2 linked regions of the Neodiprion lecontei genome follow. The protein of the gene in region 1 purifies or fractionates together with the protein of each later gene. This does not show direct contact. Links are inferred from orthologs where the notes say so. Each region holds a gene or a part of one and is shown on either strand. Other genes may lie near its edges. The genes, in order: enhancer of mRNA-decapping protein 4 and mRNA-decapping enzyme 1A.

Region 1 (7,755 bases):
TAAATAAAATTTCAACTCACATGTACGAAATGAAATTTATTATCTAATATTTATAATAGATTTACATTTAATAAGAATAAAGTATTTAGCTCTGACTAAACTGTCATAATTTTTTTTCTGACCTTATACAAGTAATAGTTTTTTGGGCAGTTATCTCGTTAATAGTTAGGAATTAGAGATTAATTTTATGTAAGTAAATTATATGATATTAAATGACAATAACGCGTTTGGAAGGTATTGGATTCATCCTTTTCTTAAATTCTACCATCGACTACAACGCATTGCAGTTAACGTTCCAGGTAATATTATTATTCAATTAACATTATTGCACTGGAATATCTGCACCATATATAGTGATTTAATCATAGTATTGAATAGTGTGAAAGATTCGTATTTTGATGCTTAAATCTACCTAGAATGAGAAATATTCTACAGAAACGCAAATCAAATTAAATAAGCAGTAGAACAATAGCGATATCTGGATGATAAAGAAAAGAAAAATTAGTTCGAACAAAATAATATTTCGCTTTCACGTAAACATAAGATGAGCGATTTTTATTGCTAAAGACAGTGTGAATAACTGATGTGTAGTGTACTATTCATTCATATTTTTTGGAAACAAATAAGAATGAAATAATTGAAAGTGGTGGAAAAAGATTCGGGTTTGTGGTCGCTGTGTTAAAAAATGAATTTATAATTTTAACGATAAAGTCAAAAATTGCACAGTTCAGACAACATATTTTAATTCAATTGAATTTTGAGATAATTGTAAAACCAAGTTGCAGATTGCGTAAAACTATTTAGATTTATTGTGTCGGACATATGAACTGAATATTAGTAATACCAATTCTTTACTGGCCTTTTTTGAGAGTAACTAATGTGTTACTTAGATGATGTTCAAAGATCTGCAATCATCAAAATTGGAACAAGTATTCCAAGTAAATATTTAACGAATACACTGTTACGTGAGTCTTCCATCGATAAAATTTATTCGAGACAATCAGAATGTAATAGAGCAGGTATTGCTTTTATTAAATAGTGAATAAATTTATAGGAATTTTAACAAAAAATGACAAAAAAGAAAAAAAGAACGCTGTGAGCTTTTCATTGGCGTCCACAATATAATATTTTTTTTCTTCTACTCATGACATCCCAGTATGAATACTGTTTAAAAGTTAACTACTGCGGAATTTGACGAACCATACCAGTGTGCACTAACTGCAGTTTCCAGAGTTGATTGTAATTTTTTACGAGTAAAAACTAGTGGAACTACCCTTAGTACGCACTGAAAGCAGTAGATCAAATCCGCCATGTTTGCAGTCTTTGATGTGCTGTTTGCTCCAACTAGATTCGTTACTTTCAAACACGCACAAGGTCACCTCGGTCTTGTATCTTAAGTTACAAACCTAAACTAACTTTTGTTGTTCCAAATCATATCATAGGCTTTGACCTCTTATGGCCTTAGCGGCCATAGCAAGCATTTTCATCTGCTTAGCAGATCTGTGGATTGGATTAGCTGTGATGAAGGCTGTCAATTGACTTTGTAGAGCCATAAGGACGGTTCCCATGTGCTCGTGAGTTACTGGGTCATCTGGATTTAGGTTCATAACAGCTTCTTCTAACCACCTGAAATTGAGGTAGAAAAATTTATGGTTTGATCTTTTACGCATAACAGAATATATAGGTACTGTGATCCAAACACCAGATATCGCAAAACAATATGCATAGAGATAAAGACGAGAGTGCCCACCTATATTTTAATTCAGTTTGTTGTCCTAGATCAGCTGAAAGTTGTTGTATTAAAGACAGCAGAACGGGCTGCTGAAGTAGACAGCGTGGGCCACCTGACCCCAGGCCTGGAGGGGGAGAAAAGACACGGCTTGGTTCGGTACGTTGACAGACGAGAACAACGAGATTCAAGTCACTAGCACTCAATGCCTGCTGAAAAGCAGCATTCAGCTGGCCTCTTTGTAGAAGATTCAGAACTCTTGCTTGAGCATCAGCACCAATTGGGCTAGCTTGAAGACCCGGAGTTGTTGCGCGAGATCTGAAAATAATTTCAGTTTGTCAAGATTATATGGTATACAATTAAATCATTAAGATTCTCAAGAAAATACTAGAGTCTACCTTGCTCCAGATATTTCTGTTAGATGTTGACTCAAATTCTCCCTGATTGTGTCGCGAACTACCCTTGTCGTTCCTTCCTGCATAACCCTGAGTCCCTTAGAAAGTTCGTTTTGTAACTCCTGACGAACGGTTGCCGCCAGGGCTTCACTCTGCTGTTCGTTTCTCCGTTGCCGTTGTTTATCTGCCATCGAATCTATGTTTTGAATGTCTTTAACAAAAGAGAATATAATACATCAAGAATTCACACATTAATGAACAACTTTCCAGGACAGTAATTTTGATTGCAACAGCAATCGTAATATATATAAATTGAAGGATTTTCTACTTACATTCACGGGTCCCCCGAGAAAACGCGTCTTGAACTTGTTTGAACATAGTCTGGCACGCTCTTTCCATTCCTGGTAACAATACCGTTGTGAAAGCTTCCTTAAAAACGGCCTCAAGTACAGGTTTCGCTGCACTTGCTGCAGTAAGGGCGAGAGTGTCACGTATATGAGCACCACTTACTAGCTGCGTGAGATTTTCTTTCATAAGGTCATCCATTCGTGATATATCTAAGCGCAGCTGATGCCTCAAGGGATCAAGTGCACCGTCGACTATTTTTGGTAAATTTTTCTCTATCTTATCCGTCACTGCACTTTCCAAAGAACAAAGTATCTCCTGCTGGCGTGATAGCTGAACAAGCAGTGTTTGTTCCAAGGATGTATTTTGCTGCTGAGTCGCTCTGGCCATCACAGATTCAACACGAGCAGTTACCGGTGTATCTTGTTGCAACCTGGTTACTTCAGATCTCAACTCTCTCAGCTCCTGGCGCTGGTCTTCGACTGTTTTCAGAATAGAATCAAGTTTGGTTGTTAGAGCAATTATACTTCCAGTATCAGGTATACACCAGTTAGTTTCTTCAGGCTGGTCAGATTCAACACTAGCTTCGGGAAGATCATTCTTTGTTAATTTTGTTGGCAGTTCTGCATCCTCGTCCTCCACAAATTCTTCAGGTTCTTCTATGGCTCGAACATCTTTTAGTAGGCCAATCGGAATACCAGGCCAAATCTCTGCCACAGCAGTTTCAGAATCTGGTTTGGCTTCAGGCTCGGTTTCTGGTGCTCCCAGTGAGAATATTTCCCTTACTTCCCTTGAAGGGCTGCTTCCTCCACTCGCCTGCGCTTGCTCTCCAAGTTCACTTGTCGCTAATGGTGGCTCGGTTGAATTTAATGCTTGCACAGCTTGAGCTAGTGAGGGACTAGCTGACAAGACAGCCCCCAGATCAGGGCTTGCAGAATTTGAATCAATATTATTTCCCTCTTTTTTTGCTGGGGAGCTGAAAGCATCAGGCGTCATCAAATTCAGACCTGTACTATGATTGGATGCTGCCTCGATTGCCGCACCAACCGTTAGCTCTTCGTCCCCATTTTCCTCAATGTTTCCGTTTTGGTTCATAGCCGCAATACCGGGAATATCTTCCATGTAGTGTAACGAATCGTGACTCAAAGTGTCCATAAGACAGTGACCGTCGGACTGAGTTACAGGTCTAAAGGCAATGTGGCATTCCTGCAAAGACTTTGGTTGTACGAGATACATCCTAACTACGAGCTGATCCTCCGTTTCGTCTTCGAGAGGGCATAAATCCTCAAGGGATTCCCCAGTAGGTCGAACTCTGCGCTGTCCAGCGTCAACGATTCCAAAACTTAGGATTGGATATGGCAATAAGAATTCGGAAATTGTATTCACACAGGCTAAGGCATCCGAACTATCTTTAGCCAGGCTCAACACATACAGAACTTTGTTGTATATGTCAGAAAGAAGAAGATAGCCTGCACTTAAATCCAAACCTGCTTTCAAGACGGGTGTTTTTCCATTTAATGGTGCAAACTTTATAGTTTGCAAACATGTCCAAGACTCACAGGACCAGACTTTTAACTCTGAATTATTATCGCAGCCAGTTACAGCAAACCTCCAGAATTGCGCTCTATAAGGAGGAAGAATTAGCAAATGAAAACCATGAAATCAAGAAGCAATGAAAAATAATTGCTTACTCTGGCTGATAGCTTTTGTGGTCGTCTAGAAAAAATAGTGATGAAATTGGTCGACCGCCATGGGGTTTCCACTGATGCAGACATCGTGGTTGTTGCTGTGCACCTTGATGAGTACTGCTATTATGCATATATACTTGAAAAAACTTGACTTCTCCATCCAGACTGGCTGTAGCAAGAGCAGTACCATCGGGACTAAATGTGGCCTCAACTATTGTGCCAGAGTGTTGATTGATCTCCATCATACCGCCCCATCCATCATTCTGTGCCACGTCAGAGATCTGCTCACATATGTAAGGAATGAATATAGCGTATTTGTAATCAATACATAGCGCTAAATTAAGAAGAGAAATAACTTGAAAAAAAATTATTCCATTACCTTTATTGGGCCAGATCCAAGCCTGGCTGCAACTGCAGCAACAGACCAAAGTTCAGCTTTAGATCCACGTGTTAAGACTAAGAGCTTGGATACCTCGTCGCCCTCAGCCGGTTCGTCTTCAGGGATATAAGGGCACCATATGACACGGTGACTAGTTGGTGAAGCATCATCTGCATCAACTTGTAGAACGAGGTTGCAAACGAGTTTTAGATGTGTAGATTCTATGGAATATACGAACAAGCTACCAGAGTGATCAACACACGCCAATATCGCGTTACTGATATGAGCAAAAGCAAGATCTTGAATAGCACCACGCATTCCTCTCAACAACGCTCGCTGCTCCCTCTCCTTGTAAACGACACGAACAACTCCTCCGCCTGTTCCAGCTGAAAATTTGCAGTGTATAGTGCAATTGCGCTCAATTCAGCAAATTAAACAGTAAGTACCTACCCTTGATTCCATATGCAAGATATTTGCCTGACATATGAACTGCAAGTAATTGTCCCGTATAAAATCGTAGTTCCCATGTAAAATCGACAATGTTTTTTAGCTTCACTTTGGAACTTCCGTGATCATGCCCTCCGGGCGATGGGACAATCGTCACATCAGTACTGAATAGTTCTACAGAGTGCTGGTCTTCCTGCCCATTGAATTCCCTGAAGAATTGCAATGTAGATTGTAGTTGATAGCGATTAAGGTTTTTGAAGAGCTTGAACTATTTTTCACGTGTAGAAGGAGTTTAAATTAGGATAAGTAAGAGTCGAGCGAAAGTTTAGAGATGGGAAGAGAGAGGTGAGAAAAAAAAGAGCTACTTACACAGTTTGCGGATATTGATACGGCCTGACACTTTCATCAGTCGGCTTAATCATTTTCCCTGTCATCGATGAATCACTGAAAATACCGTAAAGTATCGTTAATGATACAAATATTTTGCAATTTTATACTTCCATTTTATGACCACCGATATTACGGGATTCTAACCCCAACCGGTGACACGCTACGAATATGAATGCCGAGTGTCGTGTTGCTTGATAAGTGTACTCACCCGTTGCACATATGCATATATGAAGGTAAGATGATACTTATTTATGCTATATATGTATATTTACGTATGTTCACGACTCAGTATTAATCAAGTTAACATTCCGCGTAACGCTTTACCAATCTTACTAAAAAACTCAAGATTTTGGTAAACCGGGTAAATGGATCAGAAACGTCAGGGATTCCATACTTGTCATATAGATTACCGATTTTAATGCCATCTCCCGGTTATATTACGAACTTTAAAACGCCGTTCACTAGTTTTCGCTCTCCTTCATTCGCGAAATGCAAATATAACGTCCGAGTCTCCACTCGTTGACCGAAGACTATAAAGACGGATACCCCTGGGTACATTTTTGTGACCACGTTTCGGCGGGTAAGTGGGCCCACGTGGGCCTGTAGCGGGATTCTGTAACTCTCTACCGACAATTATCGCTATCGCTAGCTAGCGACAGTTGTCGCTTGCATCGACAATGATAGCCAAACGACGTAGGGCGTGTTCGGAAATTGACTGAAAGTACTGTCAGTGCTGAAAATGGTATAGTCCAAGTGACGTATACTGTAGATTTTCAGTACTGACAGTACTTTCAGTCAATTTCCGAACACAGCCATAGGGTGATTCTATAACTTAGGCGTAACGATATTCATCGATGCAAAACTAGTCACAGAGGCATCGATAAATGTCGATAGATTTTCGGCAAATTTGACAACGTTGCAGATATTATCACTAAAAATCTGGTAACTTCGGATAGATTATTTGTGAACGCAAACAAAATCGTCTATTGTTCTGTATCTTTGCCGTGATCTTTCCTCGCGTTGTACGAAAAAACTTTTCTCCGATTAATCATAAATGGAAAAAAATGGAACAGTGCAAGTATACTAGCATAGGAGGCTTCTACTCTATCGCCTCTACCTAACGGGCTCGCACCGACATTCGTAGCAACCAAAGTAGTGTCGGTATGAAAGCTTCAGATTGAGTTGCTACAAAGTGAGTACCTACGACTACTTGACTGCGCCTTAGAAATGTCGATGAGTTCGATCATCCCCGTGAGAAGACGCGTAACCGCGTCCACCGCCAACCACCGCAACAACCTCCTCTCACCTCCGACCACCTTCGTCCTCCTCCACCTCGTCGCCGTCCTGCTCCTCCTCGACCGCTTGGTTATTCTCCTCGACCACCGTCGATCACTTCAAACCACCACCAAATACTTCCTACCTCCTCCAATTACCTCCAAACACCTCCTACCATCTCCGTCCACCTTCTACGACTTCCTACGACCCTCTACTACCTCCAACCACCTTCTACCAGCTCCTACCACCTACCATTTCCGAACACCTGTAACCACCTCCGACCACCTTCGCTCTCCCCGTCCTCCTGCTCAATACGGTTTTCAATTGGGGAAAAGTACACAAGACGCAATTCACGAACTAAACAAAGAAATTCACGAAGCAACAGACAACGGAGAAAAATGTATAGCAATATTCCTAGATCTTTCTAAGGCGTTTGACACGATCCCGCACAGCCTGCTAAATACACTAGAGAGAAGAGGTATCCGAGGTAAAGCACAAAGCTGGTTTAACTCATATCTTCGAGGTAGAAAATAAAAGTGACAATACGTAAAACCTACAGCGAACAACTCCAAGTAACGTGCGGCATTCCCCAAGGAACCATCCTATCATCGCTGCTGTTTACACTTTACTACGACGATAAACTAAGGCTACATACACAATCCAAAATAATATCATACGCAGACGACACAGCACTGATATCAAGAGCAAAAACATGGGAGGAAGTATATTTAATGGCAACGCAAGATATCAACAAGATCCACAAACACCTCAATGAACGACTTCTATCTCTCAATACAGAGAAGACAACCTACATGGCATATAGATCCAAGAAATCGGAAAAACAAGATTTAAAGTACAAAAAGATTCAGCTACACAAATGCGCACGAGCGAACTCCAACTGTCAATGTGACTCAATAATCATAGTCAAAGAACAAAAATATCTGGGAGTACTCATGGACGACAAGGTGAAATGGAATGCACACACATCACAGACCGTAAAAAAACTTAGAGAACTATTCCACCCACTGATAAACATGACTCAAATACTGAACTAGAACACGAAGAAAGAAATCTACCATGAACTTGTGTATTCCATAATACAATACG
Region 2 (5,210 bases), about 24 Mb from region 1:
AAAAAAGAAGAAAACAGGGGAAGGAACTTGAAATTAACAGTCTGACAAGGTTGCAATAATGCAAGGAACGTTACATCGTTATGTGATGACATGAGGCTTGTTGAGAAATATATGATTTCAGTCACATTTTTCATCGAAATAAGAGTGCATATGTCGAGAATTGTAGATCGTCGATCGGTTTCGGGAGAATAAGGTTGTATGGGCCGCGCTCGCGCACGATTCGCCTTAGCTTAGGTGCGCTACACCTACTTACGGCTCTAACCTGCTTCTTTAGGAGAAAGCAGACGCAGGTCCATACCCGGGAGGCCATCAGGAGGAACGCTCTCATCCCCATTTGCAATTGCTTCAGCATGTCTTTAGTATGAACAACCTAAACTCAAAATTATACACTCGATACCTAGAAGTCTGTTTCTTTACCCCTTCACACGGTTTCAATCGCGGTGTTACACAAGCCCTCTCGTAAACAAACGATGATATCTTTGTTACGATACATATATGCAATATTTACACACGATCGTACGATACACAATTTTATTAATCACATTTTCGCATCCTTGATTATGTTACTACTAACTATTCGACACTGTTTCAAGATTATTAACTGCTATAATCTTATCACACACACCATGCAGTGGCCGCCATCTTTCGCACATCGACCCAATTTAATCGTGCGCACGAACTATGCGCGTTTTCTGTCAAAACGAATATCACACTTTTCAGTTTACGAATTCGGCACGCTATGCACTTATTTTTTATTGCATGTTCTTCCCTTTCGGATAGATCGTAAAATTATTAGTCATTTAGTTATACATGTTAGGTTTTATGAACGCAGGCATTTTTCTATGAACATGTGATATGTTTGGTATACCCCGCGGGCACTGTCGGGCACAGCGGGCAACAGCCGCCGGATTGTCACAATTTCTGTTTCCACGTTTTCTCGTTCGTGAAATTATACAAGCTAGTGATTCTAGGGTGATTCCGAATCTCGAAGTATCGAGGCGCCCACTCTCGTGGATTTCTGTAGAAGTAGTTTAGACATGCAGCGTATGTAACTACTAACAGTCGAGTTCTGTAGTGCCCAGTGGTAGTGCCGGCAAAAAATGCACACGCTCGCGTTTTTCATGTCCGAGGTCTCCCATTTCGTAGCGCCCTCTGAAACGAAATAAGTTTTAGAATTAAGTGTCGTGGTTGCCGGATAGTAATTGCATATCGTTAAGCGAACAATACTTTGTTGTATTTAGGCATTTAGTAACACCAAATCTGTCGATAATGCAAAGCATATTTATCATAGCGAAGTGTCACTCGACGGTTCGAAACTGAACAAATCACAGACATTAACAAATGATATTATTGCAGTGTGAACAAACAATTGACCAGATTAGTAAGTTCAAAATTAACTGCAAAAGATTATCTACATTCTACTGCTTAATCTCCATCGAATTGCTGAATCTGGGTATCCGCACTGGATCGAAAATTTCCAACCAATCACGTCAACGGCTAATATTTTAATAAAAAACAAGGTTTGTAATTCTAATCTTATTTTTAATTATTTTTCGTATATATTTGCGAACCAATCCGGTACCGCCAATGCCATTGCGTGTTCTTGAAACAACACGCGGCAGTTGCTTAGAGATCGGTGCGATGTTTTACGAACGCCGTACTAAAATTCAGTATGGCATCCAACCGAGAAGCAGCTGCTTGCGTTGTTTCAAAATATTGCGAGATTGCGGGAACGCTGTAGTTCGTGCTTCGTATCTTTGTGCTTTTAAGTACGTCGTTGTGTCTTTTATTGGAGCTTATTAGCCGGTCGATTAGCCGGTCTTTGAGCACGATGGCCGATTTGACAGAGTTGAAAATGAATGTTGCTGCATTGAAACGCGTCGACCCGTACGTTAAGGATATTCTCGAGACTGCGACCCATGTAGCCCTGTACACATTCAATGCCGAGAACAACGAGTGGGAAAAAACCGACGTCGAGGGTGCCTTGTTCGTATATTCACGAAACGGGGAACCCTACAACAGTGTGTTGATCATGAATCGGTAAAAACGCTAACATTAAGCATCGCAATCATTCAGAAATCGTTTCTGACTGACAAAAAAAAATTAGCGGCAAAATATTGAGACCTAAATTTTCTCCTTCGTATTACGAGGACGTGTTTTTTGAACATGTCCCACACATTGTCCCAAAACGCTTCTACTTTTAACGAAAGACATTTGTTTTTTTTCTTCAATTTTCAAAACTTACCACCGTACTATAAAATTTTTCTTTCTTGCAGGCTGAATACCAATAATTTGATGGAACCTGTAACGCAAGGGCTCGACTTACAGCTGCAGGAGCCTTTTCTTTTATACAGAAATTCAAGCTGCAATATATTTGGAATCTGGTTTTACGAAAAGGAAGAATGCGTTCGCATTGCGGCTATGCTTAACAAACTTGTTAAGGATTCTGAGCAGATGCGAAAATCTACTAATAAGGTTAAGACTAAGAAAAATTCAGGGCCAAGTGTGAACAGTGTCGATATATTCAGCATGCTGAGTAAGGCCCAAGAAGACTTCAACACTAACAGGGGAGGGCCAAAATCTCCAGGGAATAACTTATTGTTGGAAAACATGACAGGTCCTTTATCAGCACCTCTCGGACCTGATGTTCCTTCGCAAAGCGTTATGGACTTCTTTGCCAAGGCTAAGGTAAACCTTAGGGCTGTGCGGGTATCATAATTCTTCGGATCAGGTCGGAAAAAAACTATTAGTATTGGGTTGGGTGCCCGAAATTTTCAGCATTCCCAGAAATCTGTAAATTCTCAAAAACTTTAGAATTACCGCTAATCCGGGAATTCCCAAAAACTCTGGGATTCACGAAAATATCAGTTTAGTCAAAATTTTTGGGATTCCCGGATCTCCCGATGAATGTTGAGACACTTTTTACTGAAAATATTGATTTCATATAATTATAATATTTACTATTAGTATTTATTTAATATTTAATCGATACTGTGAGTTTTAAGTAAGTTAGGTTACCCGCGTCTCGGGCTTCTCAAATATTTCTGGCTTTACAAAGATTACGGGTTTCCCAAAAATTTTAGATTTCCCGACACTTCCGGAATCTCTAAAAAACATGACCTGATACAAACCCATCCCGAACCTGAACTTTTTTCCTGAGATTTTGGGAAAATGCACAGCCCTAGTAAACACATTACAATATTGGGGACTAACAACGATTTTAATACTTAGATCAAGTTTACACTGGTGGACAGAAAGTGGGAAATATCACATCATCACGCCTTTTTCTCAACAATTAGGTAAACCCCGGCCAATTCAAGGCGGGTGATCAACCTCCAACAGGCAACCCTGGTCCTACAGGACCTGTAACACCAGAGACTAAGCCATTGTTGGCGCGTCTGATGTCAAATCCAGCCGCACATACTCTTGAACATATTGAAAAACAACAACGATCTACAACGCCCCAGCCAGGACCTCCATCTCATTCTCAATCTCAGTCAGCGTCAACTATTCAGCCAAACAACGTATCAGGAAATATAGTGAACAGATCTAAAAGGCGAAATCGCATAACTACGACCAATCTCGAATCTGGGGGTACAACTGTATCAACAGCTGTACCACGAGAACAGCCACCATTGACAAATGCCAATTCAACTGATACAAATAGTACTTCAGGGTTTCTCAGGATACAGTCTCCGACTAACACCACGTTAAATAATCATCAACAATCATCCATTCCTAATGCAAATTCACTTGCATCCTTATTTGCCCATGCTACTGGACCTACGGTTAGTAAATAGAGCTTCTCAGCCAATTCGAAACATAACACGAAAATTGTGGGATTCTTAAAATCTGAAAAGTTATATATATCCAATTACGTAAAACTTTGTAATTCTATGTCATCGGATATTACTGGCAAAACTTGAATAATATAAAATTCCAAAATTTGTCTACAAACCATATACTTAGCAGTGCTTTGCGTAACAGGAGACGATATTTGTGTGCTGAATTTTGTTGATGCAGAGGTATCAAATGATTACATTGCATGATATTTCTTGCAGGCATCTGTAGAATCGTCGAGCTGTTCAGCAGTCGGTTCTGGCCCAGCATTGATGCCACCTGTTATGTTTGCTGCCCCTAGTCCCCCAGATCCATTGACAAGACCGGTTGAGCCGCTGACAAGGAATCAGTTATTGCAGGCTTTTAATTACCTTCTGAGGAGCGATCCAGACTTTGTCAACAAACTTCATGAGGCTTACGTGAAATCTTTTGGTGAGATACTATCTTAGGTTCATTATTCGGACCACATTTAACCAGAATCGTCATGCAGGATGTGATGGACGGTTATATTATACACCGACTGATCGATAGAACTAAACTAAAACTATTCCTACAACACACATGTGTGTAATAATTGATGGGAATTGGTATGTAATGTTCGAAATTCGTGATTTTGACAAAACTCTCGAGTGAGTTTTAGGTTGAGAGTGAAAAGGTAATGATTAAAAAAAAAAAAAATAAGAAAAAAGTTAAATATGAAGTAAATAATTGCAAGAAAAAACCCTGGACAGTATTTTTGTAAGACAAAATATTTTCTTTGAGATGTTGCACCATGCAAGAAAGTTTTCTTGTCAAGTATTGCAGTTTTGTCTGTGTTTTTGCGTATCTCGCTGCGCAGTATAAAACTACTACAAGGTTGTTGTGACAATTTATGAAAGCCTTGTAAAGCTATATAATGCACGTCCCGCCAAAAGATTTTTATCTGTGATGGCAATTTGATCATATTAAAACTACATAGTGTCTACTATGGTTATACATTAAAAATGCAAAATAAATGAAACAATGTTCAAACAAGATGAATGGGATTCCTATTTTATCGAGTAATGACTCACCCTTTCTGTAATACGAGTGGCAAAAAAGGTGTATGTAACAGGCATTGAAGGAAGAAATGAATAAAATGAAATGAGCAAAAAATGTTCAGTTATTTTATTTGTATTATTTTTTTATACTCTGTATAATCGCCCTGCGCAAGGCGATACATCTCATTATATGTGTATAAAATCGCGTATCATTTGAATTAATATTCGTATTATCATTATCATTATTATTATTTATTATCAAGTTAAAATAATTATACAATATTATCACAATATAATATTTATTCGGAATATAAATAGAGCTATGGAAACCTCAATCGCCTGTTGGCTGTA

What was found.
Region 2: the proteins of enhancer of mRNA-decapping protein 4 (region 1) and mRNA-decapping enzyme 1A purify together in Drosophila melanogaster (affinity purification with western blotting; 4 studies listed by BioGRID). This does not show direct contact. The link is inferred for Neodiprion lecontei from reciprocal best matches to the Drosophila melanogaster genes Ge-1 and DCP1.

The regions. Positions count from the first base shown.
Region 1 is NC_060261.1:32,387,104-32,394,858, forward strand, and holds enhancer of mRNA-decapping protein 4, read right to left. Parts: upstream 5,782-7,755; 5' UTR 5,599-5,781; coding exon 5,582-5,598; intron 5,428-5,581; coding exon 5,353-5,427; intron 5,193-5,352; coding exon 4,987-5,192; intron 4,923-4,986; coding exon 4,537-4,922; intron 4,439-4,536; coding exon 4,161-4,438; intron 4,094-4,160; coding exon 2,457-4,093; intron 2,336-2,456; coding exon 2,128-2,335; intron 2,048-2,127; coding exon 1,751-2,047; intron 1,627-1,750; coding exon 1,437-1,626; 3' UTR 624-1,436; downstream 1-623. UniProt on the Drosophila melanogaster protein: In the process of mRNA degradation, seems to play a role in mRNA decapping. Required for silencing a subset of endogenous miRNA targets.
Region 2 is NC_060261.1:8,405,917-8,411,126, reverse strand, and holds mRNA-decapping enzyme 1A, read left to right. Parts: upstream 1-1,656; 5' UTR 1,657-1,831; coding exon 1,832-2,040; intron 2,041-2,276; coding exon 2,277-2,688; intron 2,689-3,299; coding exon 3,300-3,788; intron 3,789-4,061; coding exon 4,062-4,289; 3' UTR 4,290-4,603; downstream 4,604-5,210. Other genes in the region: CTD nuclear envelope phosphatase 1 homolog, read right to left, coding at 254-352.